Linked DNA regions of Ovis aries. The protein of the gene in region 2 purifies or fractionates together with the protein of the main gene of each other region. This does not show direct contact. Links are inferred from orthologs where the notes say so. Each region holds a gene or a part of one and is shown on either strand. Other genes may lie near its edges.

Region 1 (5,491 bases), on a different chromosome or scaffold from region 2:
CATCTGGAGGGCTGCCGACTGACCTGGGGCACAGTGGAGCCCAAGAGCCAGGGTTCCTTTAGTGCTAGAGGGCAACAAGGGAAGGGAGAGTTTGCTCCATACCTGTGGAGGGAAGGAAGGAAACTGGATTCTGTTATCAGGAGAGCCAAGATCAACTAGCTTATAGAGTGCCCTCAGGCCTGAGTCGTGGAGAAGGGGCTATAGCTCCCAACTCCTGGGTCTCTGAAGGGCAGGATCAGTGTAGCTGGTCCCCTTGAAGACCACTTGGCCTTAGGCCCAATCCATTCAATGCACTGATTACCACTACAGGTTCTCTCTCTAATACTATCTAGAGGTCCTATGCAGACCAGGGGAGGGGAGAGGCACATGGGAACTTTGTAGGGCAAAGGGAAGCTGGGGATAGGAAGGGATGGGGTGGGAGAAGAGGAGAGCCGGTGTCACGTGAGACCCTCTTCATTCTGGTGTTGTCTTAGAACCGACAGCATCCCCTGGAAAGCCCCAAGCAAGACCAAGGCAGGTGCCATAAGGCAGGCAGCACAGGGCCCAATAAAGAAATCGGTGCAGCCAATGAGGGCTGTGGGAGAAGCCCTATGTATTTCGGATCCCCAGGGCTTGCTCTAATTCTTGCCGTCTCTGCTGCACCTAAGGAGAAAATAGTGGCGGGAGTGGAGGATGAGACAAACCACAAGTTGTTCTTGAAGCTACTGAGCCCCACCAGGTGCAGACCCCTTGCCTTTTGTCGGTCTCCCCTCTGCACCCCAGGTGCCTACCTTGGAGTAGAAGTATCGACACACAGCCTCCTGGGCCCAAGGCTGGAAGTAGAACTCTGCTCGGCGTTCCTCCTCTGAGTTACCCACCACATCAGTCATGACCTGAGACAGAACAGGAAGCGGGAGAGAGAACAGGCTTGTTTCCTTCCTTGTCATCTGTTATGGACTGAACAGTGTCCCCTAAAAGATACTGAACTCCTAACCCCCCGGTACCTGTGAATGTGACCTTCTTTGGAAATAGGGTCTCTGCAGATGATCAAGTTAGGATAAGGTCATTAGGGTGGGCCTGATCCAATGATGGGTATCTTAATAAAAAGGGGAAACTCAGACACAGAGACAGACACGTACAGAGGAAAGACAAGGGGAACACACATGGAGAACACCAGCTGCCAACCAAGAAGCACCTGAGCGACTAAAAGCCAGGAGAGAGGCCTGGAACAGACTCTCCCTCCCCACCCTTGGAAGGGGCCAAACCCTGCTGACACTGTGACTTCAGGCTCTAGCCTCCAGAACTGTGAGACCATCCATTTCCCTTGTTTAAGCCACGGGAGCCGTGGTACTTTACTAAACCACTAAAACAGCACCCCAAGCCACTCATGCTGTGGACAAGCCCCTGCCTTGTTCAGGGATCCTTCCTGGCACCCCCGTGCCCTGCTCCTCTGGCCAGGCTGGCTGCAGTCAGCACAGGACAGGCGAGAACTGAGGGCGTCTCACATACTGTGCTCACTCCTGCCTTCCTGCCTGAGCCTGCGGTGCTCCTCTCTCTGCGAGCTCCTCTCAGAGAGCACCCCTCTCTCAAATCCCAAATTCTCCAGAAAGCCTTTCCAAGCTATCCTAGTCTCACCAATCTCCCTTCTCCTTTGTTTCATCTTATTGGTACCGGTGAAATTCTGATAATGTCGCACATGATTTATTACTTTTAAAATCCCATTAGCCTGGTTTCTCAAACAGAATGGATGCTACTTTGAAAGCAGGGGCCGAGTTTTGCAGTCTGTATCCCCTACAACGTGAGCACAGTGACAGCACACAGTAAATACGAGATAAACACTTGACGGTTTCATTTCCATTTCCCTACTAGAACACGCTGAAGGAAGTCTGGCCCTTCGCCTCTCCCCGGCTCTCCACCACACGCTACAGACACAGAGCAGACATGTGCCTCTTGGGCCCAAGTCTCTCTGCACCTGTCCCCGGTTCCCTACCTTGAGGTCCCGGCACTGGGACTGTAGCCAGTCGTTGATGAAACCCTGAGGGTCTCTGGCAAAGCTCAGCATGAACTCCCGCTGGGTCTTCAGCTGATTGATAGTCTCTATTGTCTCATGGATCTGAAAGGAAGAAGGAAAGGAAGTTCGTAACATTTCCACGTTGGGGAAAAGCAAAGTTAAGTGGCAGGCAATGTATGACTTCTCCTTGTGCCACTCCCAACCAAGGAACAGAATGCAGCCCCCAAATGGCACTGCTGCCCAGGGCCCCACCTGCTCTGGCGCTTGGCGCTGTCTCTGTCCACCGCCCGTGTGTGAAGTTTTCCTTACAGTCTGCACCATGTCCACTGTGGATGACACTACATGGGAAATTTTTAATCCACAGCACAAACGGAAACTCTCAGGTAGAAAAAAAGTGGTACACAGGGCTGTCTCTGCAGCTGTGGTCCGTGGGTTTTGTTCGCTGATGCTCCACTCTCTTCCTGGTAATTTCATCTACTTGTATGTCTTCCAGCACCACTGACGGTAACGAGTCCCCAGGCTGCAGATCACAGACCATTTTCTACACTCCTACTGATGCATCTGCTTGACACCTCAAGACACCTTAAACTCCCCAAAACAAAAGCACTACCTTTTCCCAAGGCTTGCTTCTCCTGCTCCCAATCTGAATGACTACAACTGCACACTCCAGCTGAAAACCTGGAGGTCTTCATAACACCTCTTCTCCCTCACACCTCACCCCACCTCTCCATCCAGTGTCCAGATCCCTACAGTTCCACCTCAACACCTCCCAAACCTAGCTGCTCACGTCCATCCGTCCTCACGATCAGCGCCGTAAGGTTAGGCCCATAGCATACATCATGCGCATTATTGCACCATCCCCCACCTAGGCTTCCTTCCCCCAGATCTGACCCCCTTACAGTTCACCTCCCACTATCCTGCCAGTGAGCATTCTAAATAAAACAGCACCAGGCCCTCCCATTTTCAGGACAAAGTATAAACCAGTTTACCCTGCCTCAAAGCGGTTTCAGGACTAGGTTCCTGCTTCCCTCTCATTTCTTCCCCCTGGCACCCCGAGCTTTATCTAACACAGTGAAGAGCTGGTGTTTCTTCAACATGCCAGGTTCTCTGCTCATCTCTGGGCCTGCATATGCCCTGCTCCCTCTTCCTGGAATGTCCTCTGCCCCCCACACCCTCAAGTACCATCATCCTTTCTCCCCTTTTCTTGACTCCCATCAGTTCAGTTCAGTCGCTCAGTTGTGTCCGACTCTTTGCGACCCCATGGACTGCAGCACGCCAGGCCTCCCTGTCCATCACCAACTCCTAGAGCTTGCTCAAACTCATGTCCATTGACTCGGTGATGCCATCCAGCCATCTCATCCTCTGTCTTCCCCTTCTCCTGCCTTCAATCTTTCCCAGCATCAGGGTCTTTTCCAAGGAGTCAGTTCTTCGCATCAGGTGGCCAAAGTATTGGGAGTTTCAGCTTCAGCATCAGTCCTTCCAATGAATATTCAGGACTGATTTCTTTTAGGATTGACTGGTTTGATCTTGCAGTCCAAGAGACTCTCAAGAGTCTTCTCCAGCACCACAGTTCAAAAGCATCAATTCTCTGGTGCTTAGTTTTCTTTATAGTCCAACTCCCATGTTGACTCCCATGTCCTTCAAGATTAGGTTGGGGCATCACCTCTTCCAAGAAAGCCTTTCTGTTTTCCTTTGTGTTCCCAGAGCCTTTCTGGCTTTACTTGCATGGACTATGTCTAATAACGTTCACGGTAATAACAACAGAAGCAGCAGCCGCCATTTGTTTTTATGTGCCAGATACAACGTCATGTCTTCACATACATTGTCTCATTTAATCCTCATAACAACTTTAGAAAAATAGGCATTATGGTTTCACAGATCAGAAACTGAGGCTCAAAGCTATTAAGAGATATAGTTAAGAATCAGAACTTATGTGCGTCTGGCTCCAACCAGCACCAGAGTGCCCAGCATATATTGGGTATCAACATATTTTGAACGAATATCAAAAATCAAAGAAGCCAAGAAGCTGTGATAGAGGGCTGGTGACACCCAACCATCCAGGCCATGGTCCCTACCTTGTTGTCTAGGGTAGCAATCTCCTGCTGGCTGGCAGTAGACAGCAGAAAAGAATTCATCTGGGTCTTCAAGGTATCATCCACTTCCACATCAATGTCATAACAAGCTGTCTTCTTCTGATCATTCGGGTCAACACTGAGGAGGAAACCAAGGGGGCCTGGTAAAGGGCTTGTTCCCTAAGACCTAATTACATAAGTCTTAGACTGAAGGGCAAGGAGTTGACTGCAAAAGGGTACCAGAGACCTTGCTGGTGTGACAGAAATGCTCTGTACTCTCCCTGCGGTGGTAGCTATAGGATGTGCACATCAGCCAAAAATCATCAGATTTTAACTGGGTGCAATATACTGCATATAAGCCTCAGTAGTAATGGTAAAAAGTCAAATGGTACAAAAGATAGCCAATGAAAAGTAAGTTTCTCCTTCCCCACAAAGAGACCACTGCTACAGTATCTTTACTTATTAAACTTAAACTGACTCTGAAAATACATTCAAGTAAACACACACCACACAAAATAAAACGTGGCCTAAATTTAACCACATGAATATAGGACAAACTAGCTTCTACTGACCCAGCGTATGGGTTGTAGGAATTACTATCAGCTGAGTGATGATGGTTCAGGGTCTAGCGAAAGGACAGCTTTACTGGAGTTAATATGGAGTAAGGGAAAGAAGGCAAAGACTATGTAGAGCCAGAAGGCATGGTGCTCTGAGGAGAAAGTGCCTTCTTTCACTATCTGCCTAAACATGCCTTGTTCATCCATCTTCTGAACAGAAAAGCAGACAGAGGTAATGGGAGTTGGAGTCTCAGACTGGAATGTCCTACCACCCAGAGAAAAGACAGGAGTTCATCAGTGATGAGCTGATAAATTCTAATAACTGATTCTCCAAAAGAGAAAAAGAACGGTAAGAAAAAACCCTGACTTGGAGCATTTGCTAATTTCTGTGTTTTAAATATTCTCCACACGGTTGATTTCAAGATGCTGACATTATATCACTCATCGAGGAATTGGGAAGGGATGTGCAGTAACACATCATTAGACAGTATTTCCACCACACAGACACAAGAGACAGAAGTAACTTCAAAAACACACACCAGTATGTGTATGTCAGTTGCTCAGTCGTGTCTGACTCTTTGAGACTCCACGGACTGTAACCAGCCCGGCTCCTCTGTCCATGGAATTCTCCAGGCAAGAATACTGGAGTGGGTTGCCATTCTCTTCTCCAGGTATTTTCCTGACTCAGGGATTGAACCTGGGTCTCCTGCATTGCAGGCAGATTCTTTACCATCTGAGCCACCAGGGAAGCCCAAACACCGGTAAACCAATATAACAACTCAGATATGATGACCTTCTGAGTACATTTACACTTATTTTTTATATAATGTATTTAATCGCAAGTTTATATAATCCTAAATAATGACTGTGTT
Region 2 (5,980 bases):
GATAACTACAAAAAAAGGGGAGGGGGTACAGGGCTGAGCAGTGCTATGGGATGTCCCTAAGTGGTGGAAAAGAAACTGTAGGAGTCCAAGGAGAAAAACCAGGTGACTAGGGGACTTTCTCCTTTGTGCCATTTTATATCTTTTGAGTTTTAAACTAGGTATTTGCAAAGTAGCTAATTCTATATACTAACTTTGCAATCAATATAAATCATTTGGAAATATGTGAACACCCTTGAAGCCTACTTTCTACTGAGTACCATTACACTGATACAAAACCTGTTTGCAGAAAGGCCTATTCTAGACCCTTCTCCATTCTCACACCAACAAATTTTTTAAGAACCTTTTTGAACTCAAAAGACCTCCTTTGAAATTTGAATTTTTTAAGAGTGATTTCACTTTGACTTTTCACTTTCATGCATTGGAGAAGGAAATGGCAACTCACTCCAGTATTCTTGCCTAGAGAATCCCAGGGACGGGGGAGCCTGGTGGGCTGCCCTCTATGGGGTCGCATAGAGGACTGAAGCAACTCAGCAGCAGCAGCAGCAGCAGCAGCAGCAGCAGCAAGAGCTTTAAAAAGCTGCAAAACTGCAGTGCCAGGAGTAATCTGGTTCTAAGAAGCATGTATACAGAACCAACCTTGTTCTCATCCTTCAGGGTTTAACAAGCACAGTAATACTAGAGCTTAAACTAACACAATTCACATTTATATATTCGAGCAAACTTTTTCTTTCTTCGCACTACGTGGCTTGAAGGATCTTAAAGTTTGCCAACCAGGGATTGAACCTGTGCCCTTAGCAGTTAAAGCGCCAAGTCCTAACCACTGGACCGCCAGGGAATTTCCCTTGATTGATCTTAAAGTAAACAAACTGAGGGCAGATGATTTCTTTCCCACAATATCCTCAGCACCCATGAAGGTGTCTGGAATATCCTGACTCAGAAGTAAAAAGATCAGGCTTGGCTGCAAGTCACCACATATATGGACATTTAGTCAACCCACGTGGATCTCAGGTATGCTATTGACTAGGGAGGCTGAACTAGATAAGCTCTGACATATTCTACAAGAGGGAGACTCCAAGCATGAGAAGTTGAACACAGTAAATCTCTGTCGTTTATGTTCGTAACTCAAGCTGCAGCAACAAACCCTGCTCTGGAATCGAAGAGGGGCTTTCATGGGGCAGCCACTGAGGCACAGCTTAGAACGTTCCCAGCAACCAACAAAGACATACACTGCACGCAGGCAGTGACATCACAAGATAGTCTGGCTTGATTCAATGTGCTGTAATGACTGTAATTTGAGGTAGGCATGAAGCCTGTGCTGGAGAATAAAGAGAAGGAATAGGCTCATATTTGCTCGCCTTTAGGAGGCAGCCATGTCCTCACTAAACAGAGGAAAATTGGATAAACAAGGCTGAGTGCGGCAGCGCCTTTGTTTCTGCTGATGGAAATTGATACTGACACTGTAAGTCAGATGGAAAGAAGGGCTAGACAGGCTGAGAACTGCAAAGTCAGAGCAAGGAGGCTGGAAACTGTCGGGGGTGGGGTTGAGATATGACGAGAGATGTTCTATCAAAGCTCCGGTGAGTTAAATGGGATTTCAGAAGGTGGGGCAAACTGCATTGTGAGTGAGAGCTGATAACGAAATACAAGTTGGAGGAAGAGAGGATCTGATGAGGATAGAGCAAAAAAGAATGAGAGAGCTCTCTTAAGAATCTAAGGCTCCTACAAGAAATTTTAAGCTAACATTCTCCAGATCTTGTTACCTAACTCAGAGGATTTCAGCAACCACAGCTCTTTTATACTATTATTTTGCCCTGTAAGACCTCTTAAAGATTGTTTCAATTCTGACACCACGTTTGGGAGGGATGGAGAATTTACAAACAGGAAAATTCTTCTCCCAGAACAAGATGCAAGTCAGAAAAGATGAGCTAGTAGTCCTGACCTCAATGTAAAACCTCAGCAGTCAGAAGACTAGGCACACCGTGGTCAAGAAAAGCGTCTCTTTACAGGATGAGAATGGTACAGGAAGACTGGAAGTCTCTTTTTAAAGAGCAGGTTCTGTACGAAAATGTATTAACTGTGGTCCACAGCTCTTTACAGCTAGAACTGAGGAGTAGAAAGTTGGTTATTTATTACTGGTACTCAGGAATCAGCAGTTGGTGACCTTCACTATCTCTACAGATCTTTAAAGAGAAATAAGAAGTCAAGCTCTATTTAAACGGGCAACCCCTCACTTCCAATACTGCATGAAAGGGTTGGTGACCTTATTTCTCAGATGAAAGTCTTCCAACATAAACAATCTCACTACATAAAACTCTTAAACCTAGGCAAGTTTTGACATTCCCCCATTACAGTAAGCTTTCCAAGGTAGAAGCTTTGATTCTTTTTTGAGAGGCATGAAACCTGTGTAAAACCTCCCTTTACAATGGGACAGGGGCAGTCAACAAAGAGAAAGACAGGGAAACAAAGAAAGAACATCTGAGTCAGTATGGATAACATATAAATGGTAGATCAGCAGCGTCATTTCTAAATTGAGGGAAATGTCAGCTTGGAGAGAGTGCTGGGGAAACTGAAGTGGGTAGATCAGAGAGGAAGATAATAAATAGTGCTGGGAGTAGGGGTGGCTGAAATAGGCAGCAGGATGGAGCTGAAAGCACGTTAGGAAAAAAAAAAAAACCCACAAGGAGAAGGCACTTAGCTTAATGGAAGTGGGAAAGCATTCTCAAAGAAAAGGCTCCAGGCAGGGGGAGGGAGAGAAGCAATGTACTCTTAGAAAAAAGGCTCTTGGGAAGAGTGGGGCTCAGCCTACTACAAAGACAGTTGAGAAGCTATGTGCCCCTTAGAAGAGTTCCCAAACCTTTACCTTCTCACCCAGTCAAAATCCAAAAGCCAAGCTGCACAACTGGTCACCTCATTTTTCCTACCCCTGCACCAAGCCAAATGTGTCCATTAAAGAGCTTGCTGTATTGGCCGACGGGGGTGGGGGTGCAAGAACCCATTGGAAAACTCATTGAGATTCTTCTTCGGGGAGGAGGCTGGATTAAATCAAGTCCCAAAGCATCTTTAACTCACAGCTAACAGGCCATTCTCAGTCTGCCAAACAACCATGAACTTTAACTTTGCTTGAAATCTGCCCAGTCCAAGAGTATTGCAGAGCGAAGAAGGTCGACCCAGATGCCCCTCGGGGCGGCCAGGGCGTCCTGGACTGCGTCCGTCCAGTGCCCACTTTCCGATGGCTGGGACTGGCCGGCGCCAAGCCCCTCTTCCCTGAAGTTCTTTCCCTCTGGATCTTGCTCTTCCACAAATTCTCCCCAGGAATATTTTTGGTCTCGGGTACCTGATACTCAAGGACCACCCCACCCCCGCCCCCGCCCGCCCAGGAACGTCACGGGGCTGTTCAGAACAAAACAGCCCTGAGCGCTTAACGGCGCCAGGGCGGCCGAGCCTGCTCCTCCGGGGCCCGCTGCGGGCAGCCGACGGGGAGGGGCCGGCGGCCAGGCTTCGCGGGGGTCGGCCCCGCTCTCCCGGACGGAGGCGAAGCCCGGACCGTGTGCCGTACGCAACAAGGGCGCCATACTCTGGAAACCTTCCGCCTGAGGGAGCGCCCAGCCCCACAGGGAGGCTGCCCGTCACGGGCTCCCGTGTGCCCCCCTCAGGGCCTCCACAAGTTTCCAAAGAAGCGCAACGTCTTTCCCGAGTCTCCTGTTGCCCTCCCCTCTAGGAGTCGCAACACGGCCTCTCTGGGCACGTCCCTCTCTCCGCCTCGTCCGTTCCCACACCGCCCCCTGCTTCCAGGTCCCTTACAAGACCTCCCAGGCTAGAAGAGAAAGAAACGGCCACTCACAGCTTCACTACATTTTCCACCACGGCCGCCATCTTCCCGGCTTCTCTCCCTCAGGCCGGGAGGCCCGGAGCCCGCAGCGCGCAGGCGCTGGGACCGCAGAGGGAACCAATTTCCTTGTCTTTCTGCGCAGGCGCCACCGGGGCGCGTGCGCCCGAGAGCGAGCGACGGAGAATGAGCTTCTGGCCAGTTCTCCCCGGCCTGGCAATCCGGGGACGAATGCGCAGGCGCAATGGAGGCGGGCGCGCGCCCCGAGGCTTCTGCTCCAGTTTTGCCTCATCCTTTTAGTGAGAAGGTAGAAGCGAGAGGATCTGACCGGGTCCATAAATGAGAAGGTGAGAGGTTGGTGAGAACTGGCAAGCCCAGAGGTGGTCTAGATGGAGGTCATGCGTCCTGTTACCTCGCTGACCTTTAACCTCGTGGTTAATAACCCTTTGCCCTCACGTACAGACTCAGGGGTTGGTGGGTAGCCGAAGGTAAGAGCAGTGCACACTCCTCTTGGGCTGCCCACTTTAGTGAGAGAAATATTAACTCCAAGAACCTGGCAGATCTTTGGCCTGAATATTTGGGTCTGACAAAAGTTCCCCCACCTTCCTGCCACCAACTTAATTGATCTCCACCTCTTCTTCCCTGCTTCCTACCCCTAAGCTCTTGTCCTCCTCTGAAGAACTTCTCTCCTGCAACTTCCTCTCCTGTACCATTCAGTTCTCCTTCGCTATTGAATCATGCAAATTCATCTGCAAACATGGCTTAATATCCTCTTTAAAAAATATCAGAGCCCTTCCTTAAGCCCTTTCTGCCTTTATCACCCTCTTTCTTTTCACCCTTTCAGAGCACATATTCTTGTTTATACTTACTATCCCTGCTGATTTATTTCCAAGTGTCTCTCTGCCCAGTTTAATGGCGATTTTGTTCTCATCAGTTCATTGAAACATCTAACAAAGACACCACGATCTCCATTTCAACAGATTTCGAGATCTCCCTGTCTTTATCAGCCTATCAGCCCTCATGACAACACTGGCCAGTCACTTCTTTTTCAAACTCATCTCTGAGACACACACTCTCCTGGCTGGCTGCCTATCACACTGCCAGCTCCTTCAGCTTCTTTTACTGGCTCTCTGTCCTCACATCTACCTAGACCCGTCAGAGTCCCCAGGGCTTGGTCTTTGATCCTGGTAATATGCCGTATTTCATCAATTCTAAGATGCACATATTCTCTGCCCTCCCCCCATTTTAGTATTTCGGAATCAGGACACATCTTACCATCATTGTGCCTTAAAATCAGGTTTGGCAGATGAGAGTTGAGTGGTATTTGTCATTGTTTACCCTGCACCAAATTTGCAGAATAGATGTCAGCAGCTTGGAAGGAAAACCTAGGGACAATACTGTTGCACTCTTGTTCCCCAAATGATTGTGGGAATCAAAGGTGATACCAAAAGAATTCATAAGTATGTGTTTCAGCATGAATGTGAAAAGTAGAAGTGTTAGTTGGTCAGTTGTGTTCGACTCTGCGACCCCATGGACTGTAGCCCATCTGGCTCCTCTGCCCATGGAATTCTCCAGACAAGGACACTGGAGTGGGTAGCCATTCCCTCCTAAAGGGATCTTCCCAACTCAGGGATCAAACCCCAGTCTCGTGCATTGCAGGCAGATTCTTTACTGTCTGAACCACCAGGGAAGCTCCCACCCCTACATTCATAGGTTTAAGTCCTACCCACTAAGTCTGATAATATTTGGAGGTGGGATCTTTCAGAGGTAATTAAGTTTAGATGCAGTCTGAGGGTGGAGTTCTCATGGTGGAATTAGTGCCCTCATTAGAAGAAGCAGCTGGAGATCTATCCGTGAGGAAAGGCCATGTGAGGACCCAGCAAGAAAGCAGATGTCCACAAGCCAGGAAGTGGACTTCCACCAGGAACCAAATTTGCTGGCACCTTGATCTTGGATTTCCCAGCCTCCAGAATTGTGAGAAATAAATATCTGTTGTCTATGGTACTTTGTTACAACATCCTGAGCTAAGACAGTGTGTGAGCACTGAAGCTGAACACACACATACCCTCTGACCCAGCAATTCTATTCATGCATGCATATATGGAAAACCATGTGTAAGAATGATCACAATAGCATTAATTGTATTAGGCCCAA
Region 3 (5,364 bases), on a different chromosome or scaffold from region 2:
TAGCTACACTCTGCACAAGATCCTGCCTAACAAGGTGGACCCACTGGTGTCCCTGATGATGGTGGAGAAGGTGCCAGACTCAACTTATGAGATGATTGGTGGACTGGACAAACAGATCAAGGAGATCAAAGAAGTGATTGAGCTGCCTGTGAAGCATCCTGAGCTGTTTGAAGCACTGGGCATCGCGCAGCCCAAGGTGAGCAGGGCTTCTGTGCCAGGGCCATGCTGCTACTGTACACTTGCCCCAGCCGGGTAGACTGGAGCTTGCTTCCACTGGTCCTGCTCACCCAGGGGCTGGGGGAAGAGACGCTACCAGGCCATCAGATAGTTTGGGTATAAGCTCCAGAAAGGACTTTGACATTTACTTTATCTCTAACGTCTAACGTGAGATTTGGCACAGTGCAAACACTCAATAAATGTTCCTTGAATGAAACATGGGGGCCAGCTTCCTTCCCTGAGCCCCACCCTTGCTCTCTAGGGGGTACTGCTGTATGGACCTCCAGGCACGGGGAAGACGCTGCTGGCCCGGGCTGTGGCGCATCATACAGACTGCACCTTCATTCGTGTCTCTGGCTCTGAATTGGTACAGAAATTCATCGGCGAAGGTAACTGTGGTCAGAAACATGAAACTAAGCGGGGGTGAGGGGGCGGAACTCGTTGGCTTATTGACACCCTGCTTGGTCTCTGCACAGGGGCGCGGATGGTGAGGGAGCTGTTTGTCATGGCCCGAGAACACGCTCCATCTATCATCTTCATGGATGAAATTGACTCCATTGGCTCCTCGAGGCTGGAGGGGGGCTCTGGAGGGGACAGTGAAGTCCAGCGCACTATGCTGGAGCTGCTCAACCAGTTGGATGGCTTTGAGGCCACCAAGAATATCAAGGTACGGTGGGGTCGGCTTGGGGAAGGACCAAGGGAAGGCCCTGGGTGAGGTGCAGCCTGCCTTAGGAAGGGCTTAGCTGACGCCACCTGCTTTGTCCACTCAGGTTATCATGGCAACCAATAGGATTGACATCCTAGACTCGGCGCTACTCCGCCCAGGGCGCATAGACAGGAAAATTGAATTCCCACCCCCCAACGAGGAGGTTTGTAATAAGCAGCATTGGCAGCAGCCCCAGCTGTGGCGGTAGGCCCTGGGCTTAGGCTTTTCCCCTCCCATCGCTAGGCCCGGCTGGACATTTTGAAGATCCATTCTCGGAAAATGAACCTGACCCGGGGGATCAACCTGAGAAAAATTGCTGAGCTCATGCCGGGAGCGTCAGGGGCTGAAGTGAAGGTAACAGGAGTGCCCAAGGGAAAGGGGGCAGAGGCAGGAAGCACTGGGTTCAGGGCACAGCGGCATCTCCCCCTTCTTTCCCTGCTCAGGGCGTGTGCACCGAGGCTGGCATGTATGCACTGCGGGAGCGCCGAGTGCACGTCACGCAGGAGGACTTCGAGATGGCAGTAGCTAAGGTACAGGGCCACGCCTTTCTGCCTTTGCTGGTGGTGACTCGAGCAGTGGGGTCGGGCACGTGTTCACTGGGTCTCTAACTCAAATGTTCTCTCTCCAGGTCATGCAAAAGGACAGTGAGAAAAACATGTCCATCAAGAAACTATGGAAGTGAGGCAGACGTCCTTTGTGTGGATCCCTCAAATAAAGCTCTACCGGTCAGGACCTTGAGGACTCGAGTCTGTTAATCAGCAGCTGCACTGTTCAATCACCAGGTCTAGGTACCACCAATAAACAAAGATTTATTTGGAAATTTCCAAACCTGCCAGAAGTGGCGTTTGCCAAGCCCTCGGCCCACCCTCCTTAACAGGCTCCAAAGAGCAACAATAGTCCTCCCCATCTCCCACTGCCCTCCACCGAGCACACACACACCCACGCCTCAGGCCACGCCAGAGAATTAGGGTGCCCTCTCCCTAGGAGGCGTTACCCTGGGCCCAAGAACTGGGGTGACAGCCCTCTGGCATCGCAGGAGATGATGGCGGCCAGAGCCGCTTGCATAGATTGAGAAAAGAAAATAAGGGACCCCCCAAGTAGGGCTCCCTGAAAACCCCCAACACACCCCCATAAAAAAAGTGGCTCCCGCATAGAAAATCCTGCTCCACAAATAGTGCAAATAACCCGAAGGAAAGGAAATTACCAGCAGCAAGGCTGGGCTGGTAGGAATGGCAAAGAACTTTGGTTTGGAAAGGCTAGGAAGAAAGGGAGCCATGCTCCTCTTCCTCACCCCGCTCCCTGGAGCCAGCGTGGACACTCGCCCCAAGGGGGTCTGTAAACAAGCAAAGCCAGGGGCCTCTGGTTCCAAAAGGTCTCGGTTAAAATGTCAAAGCAGAGCCTCCAGGTCCTTCTCAGGCCTGCCTGCAGGGGGCACAGGAGGCCTCTCGTGAACCCAGTTAAAGCCAATGTGTAAGTAAGAAGGCTTTGGAGGACCAAGCAACAAGGAATCCTATCACTACACTTAAGAAACTAAAGCCGGGGAGCCGAGGGTAACTGGAGATGCCCCTCACCCCCTCGTTATCCTACGTGTCTGCGCCCCAGAGGGTGGTCCCCTTCCAGGCTGAGGGCGTGGCTCCAGGCTGGGAAGAAAGGAAGGGGTCCCTGAGCAGTTAGGTCAGGCGGATTCCCAGCACCTGTTCCAGTTCCTGCCTTCGCTGCTGCACCTGGAGCAGGGACAGACCAGCGGCTCAGGCCCGGCTGCCCACCCTGCCCTCCGGTATGCCCTCCAGGCCAGCCAGGGCAGAGCCGCCTCACCTTGGCAAAGATGTGCCTCCCTACTGCTTCCTGGGCCCAGGGCTGGTGGTAGAAAGCTGCTCGTCTCTCCTCCTCCGGGTTCCCAGTCACATCAGTGATGATCTGTAGAGCACCAGGAGCAGAGCTGAACGCAATTCCCACCCCTGAGCCAGAAGAACGGTGCTGGGGACAGAACCCCCAGAGCTTAACGTGGGATCACCCTCAGGAAAAAGGGGCACACCTTGAGGTCCCGGCGCTGGGAACGGAGCCACTCCTGGATGAAGTCCTGGGGGTCAGTGCTAAAACTGAGCATGAAATCCCTCTGGGTCTTCAGCTGGTTGATGGACTCAATAGTCTCGTGGATCTGGGCAAAGGGGTACGTGTCAGACTGGCTCCCACCCCGACAAGGTCTGCTTCCAGCCCCAACCCGAAAGGACTCAGGTCCCATCCCAAGGTGCTATATAAATGGAAATGCCCGACACCTGCCCATGCTCACTGGGGGCCCAGAGGAGGTTGGGGCCCACCTTGACATCAAGGGAGGCGATCTCCTGCTGATTGGTGGTAGAGGCCAGAAAATTGCTCATCTGGGCCTTGAGCGGGTCATCCACCTCCACGTCAATGTCGTAACAGGCTGTCTTCTTCTGGTCGTTAGGGTCCACGCTACACGGCACACGGGAGAGAGCTACTTCCCTCCCGCCCGCCCGGGGCAAGACCACACACACCCAGGGAGCAAGAAACCAAACGTGCTGCTTTGCTTTGGCTTTAATTGAAGTCAAAGGCAAACCCCTGAGAGCAGCGTTCCTCCCCCTTCCCGTTTACCTGATGACGTGGTTGATGACAATCGGGTCTGGATGCTGCAGCAACCCTGCCAGCTTCATGGGAATCTCAGAGAAACGTAGTCGGCCACAGCTGAAGATCTGGGGAGGGCGCCAGAGGGTCGGTGACGCCCTGGTGGGCACATGGGGAAGTGGCCCGTCCCGGGGCGGTGTGGCGCCACAGGCAAGGCGGGCGGGGGCTGGAAGGGGAGGGGGCGGTGTGCCCGCTTACCTGGCGGAAGTAGCGGTTGCAGTTGATGTACTCGCGCTCGTGGCCGTCCTGCAGCTGGTTGTGTTTGATGTAGAGCCACAGGGCCTGCATGATGGCAGCCCTCGTCTGCGTGTGCACCCCCAGCAGCCTCGCCAGGCGGGGGTCCAGCTTGTACTGTGGGGGCTGGCATGGACAGACGGGAGTCAGAGGAGGGAAAAAAAAACCCAAAGCAGGCTAGGGCAGGGACAGGAAGGGTTTCCAATGGGCACCTGCCCCCGCCCCAGATGACAGTCCCCGTGAGCCCAGACGTGGCCTCAGGGCACTCGTCACCTGATGATCCAGCATGAGCAGGAGGGTGCACTTGACGTTCAGGTCTCCAGGCCGTTTCACCTGGAAGCCGTCTGTCTCCTGGGTGGTGGGCATCCGGTGCCACTGGCAGGAGGAAGGGGAGTCAAGCTCATCACCAAAGGGGCGGGCAACATACGCACCTGGCCCTGCAAGGGGACTGAGGCCATTCCTCTGCCCGCCGGGCACGGCACCCTGTGGTCCCAAGCCCCAGGCCCGCTCTCACCTCTACCAGGTGGTTGTCTGGCCCATACAGTTCCTTGTCCAGCTCGATGACGAGGCTCTTAAAGAAGGAAGAAAACTTCCGCTTCTGTTTACTAGGCTGGGGATGTAAAGGGGGTGAGACAGGGGTGCCATTGAAGGTTCAAGCCTAAGCCACATACTAAGCCCCGAACAGAGGAATATTGTTTCAGTCCTAAAGCTCAGGGTACTGAGGATTCTCAGGCCCTGAAAGAAGCAGGGAAAAGTGAGACCTGAGGCACAGAAAGGGTCCCTAGGCAGCCCCGCTGTCAGCCAGTAAAGGACCGGAATTAGCAAGGGCACCCCTTCCTCAGGACACTCTATCGCCATCTGCAGGAAAAGCACTGTAACAACCACACAAACCTCCCACCTCTGGACTGGGTGCTGTGCCCTCTCCCTCCAGCAGGATGACCCCGGAAGTGCCCAAGTGTCTGGCCCAAGTCTGAAACCCACATAGACCACTGCCCCTCCAGACACCTCCTTCCCCAACTCACATCATCCAGCAGTTTTCCCTCTACTCGGAGTTCCCAGGAAGCCACCTTGTCCCCTGCGGGGGTTCCTCCAGGGGTCCCTGTGGTTCCTGCACTGTCACCTTCTGCCTTGCTGGGACTGAATGTATTGGAAATATAGATCCGCAGCTTTCGTTTTTGCTAAAGAAAGACAACAGGTTAACTAGACAGGGACCAGCTGCTACCCAATCCTCCCGTCTGAACTCATTTCACACCCATACAGAGAGTGCTATGGGTCAGGCCCCTAGTGAGGCCCTGGGAACTGGGCGAGGAAATCTCATCCCTCACCTTCAAGGGACTCACAACTTTATGGGGAAACATGCAGTACCAAAAGGTCCAATACAGGGGCATCGGTGGTGTGACAGATCCACTGAGGGTGCTATCAGAAGTTGCTGGCTCATAGTTTAAGTGAAACCCAAACACTCATCGTGGCTACAGAACATCGTCTCCCGGAAAGCCTCCACCATTCAAGGAACTGTTCTCTAGATAAAATTTCTCTAGGGACGGGGAAGAAGACAGGAACTATCC

What was found. The genes of interacting proteins can lie anywhere in the genome.
Region 1: the proteins of DPF2 (region 2) and SMARCD1 purify together in Homo sapiens (affinity purification with mass spectrometry; 9 studies listed by BioGRID and IntAct, counting the BioPlex papers as one, with this or other methods). This does not show direct contact. The link is inferred for Ovis aries from reciprocal best matches to the Homo sapiens genes DPF2 and SMARCD1.
Region 3: the proteins of DPF2 (region 2) and SMARCD2 purify together in Homo sapiens (affinity purification with mass spectrometry; 6 studies listed by BioGRID and IntAct, counting the BioPlex papers as one, with this or other methods). This does not show direct contact. The link is inferred for Ovis aries from reciprocal best matches to the Homo sapiens genes DPF2 and SMARCD2.

Annotation. Positions count from the first base shown.
Region 1 is NC_056056.1:136,216,782-136,222,272, forward strand, and holds part of SMARCD1 (SWI/SNF-related matrix-associated actin-dependent regulator of chromatin subfamily D member 1), read right to left. Parts: intron 4,202-5,491; coding exon 4,066-4,201; intron 2,093-4,065; coding exon 1,730-2,092; 3' UTR 873-1,729; coding exon of another isoform or gene 771-872; 3' UTR 643-770; coding exon of another isoform or gene 589-642; 3' UTR 1-588. UniProt on the Homo sapiens protein: Involved in transcriptional activation and repression of select genes by chromatin remodeling (alteration of DNA-nucleosome topology).
Region 2 is NC_056074.1:39,982,120-39,988,099, reverse strand, and holds the start of DPF2 (zinc finger protein ubi-d4), read right to left. Parts: upstream 3,917-5,980; 5' UTR 3,874-3,916; coding exon 3,842-3,873; intron 1-3,841. UniProt on the Homo sapiens protein: Plays an active role in transcriptional regulation by binding modified histones H3 and H4. Is a negative regulator of myeloid differentiation of hematopoietic progenitor cells. Might also have a role in the development and maturation of lymphoid cells.
Region 3 is NC_056064.1:47,806,490-47,811,853, forward strand, and holds the end of SMARCD2 (SWI/SNF-related matrix-associated actin-dependent regulator of chromatin subfamily D member 2), read right to left. Parts: intron 4,978-5,364; coding exon 4,822-4,977; intron 4,410-4,821; coding exon 4,314-4,409; intron 4,175-4,313; coding exon 4,073-4,174; intron 3,926-4,072; coding exon 3,764-3,925; intron 3,634-3,763; coding exon 3,536-3,633; intron 3,377-3,535; coding exon 3,241-3,376; intron 3,081-3,240; coding exon 2,958-3,080; intron 2,840-2,957; coding exon 2,738-2,839; intron 2,647-2,737; coding exon 2,593-2,646; 3' UTR 1,712-2,592; downstream 1-1,711. Other genes in the region: PSMC5 (26S proteasome regulatory subunit 8), read left to right, coding at 1-196, 479-605, 693-883, 987-1,085, 1,166-1,276, 1,366-1,452, 1,551-1,604. UniProt on the Homo sapiens protein: Involved in transcriptional activation and repression of select genes by chromatin remodeling (alteration of DNA-nucleosome topology).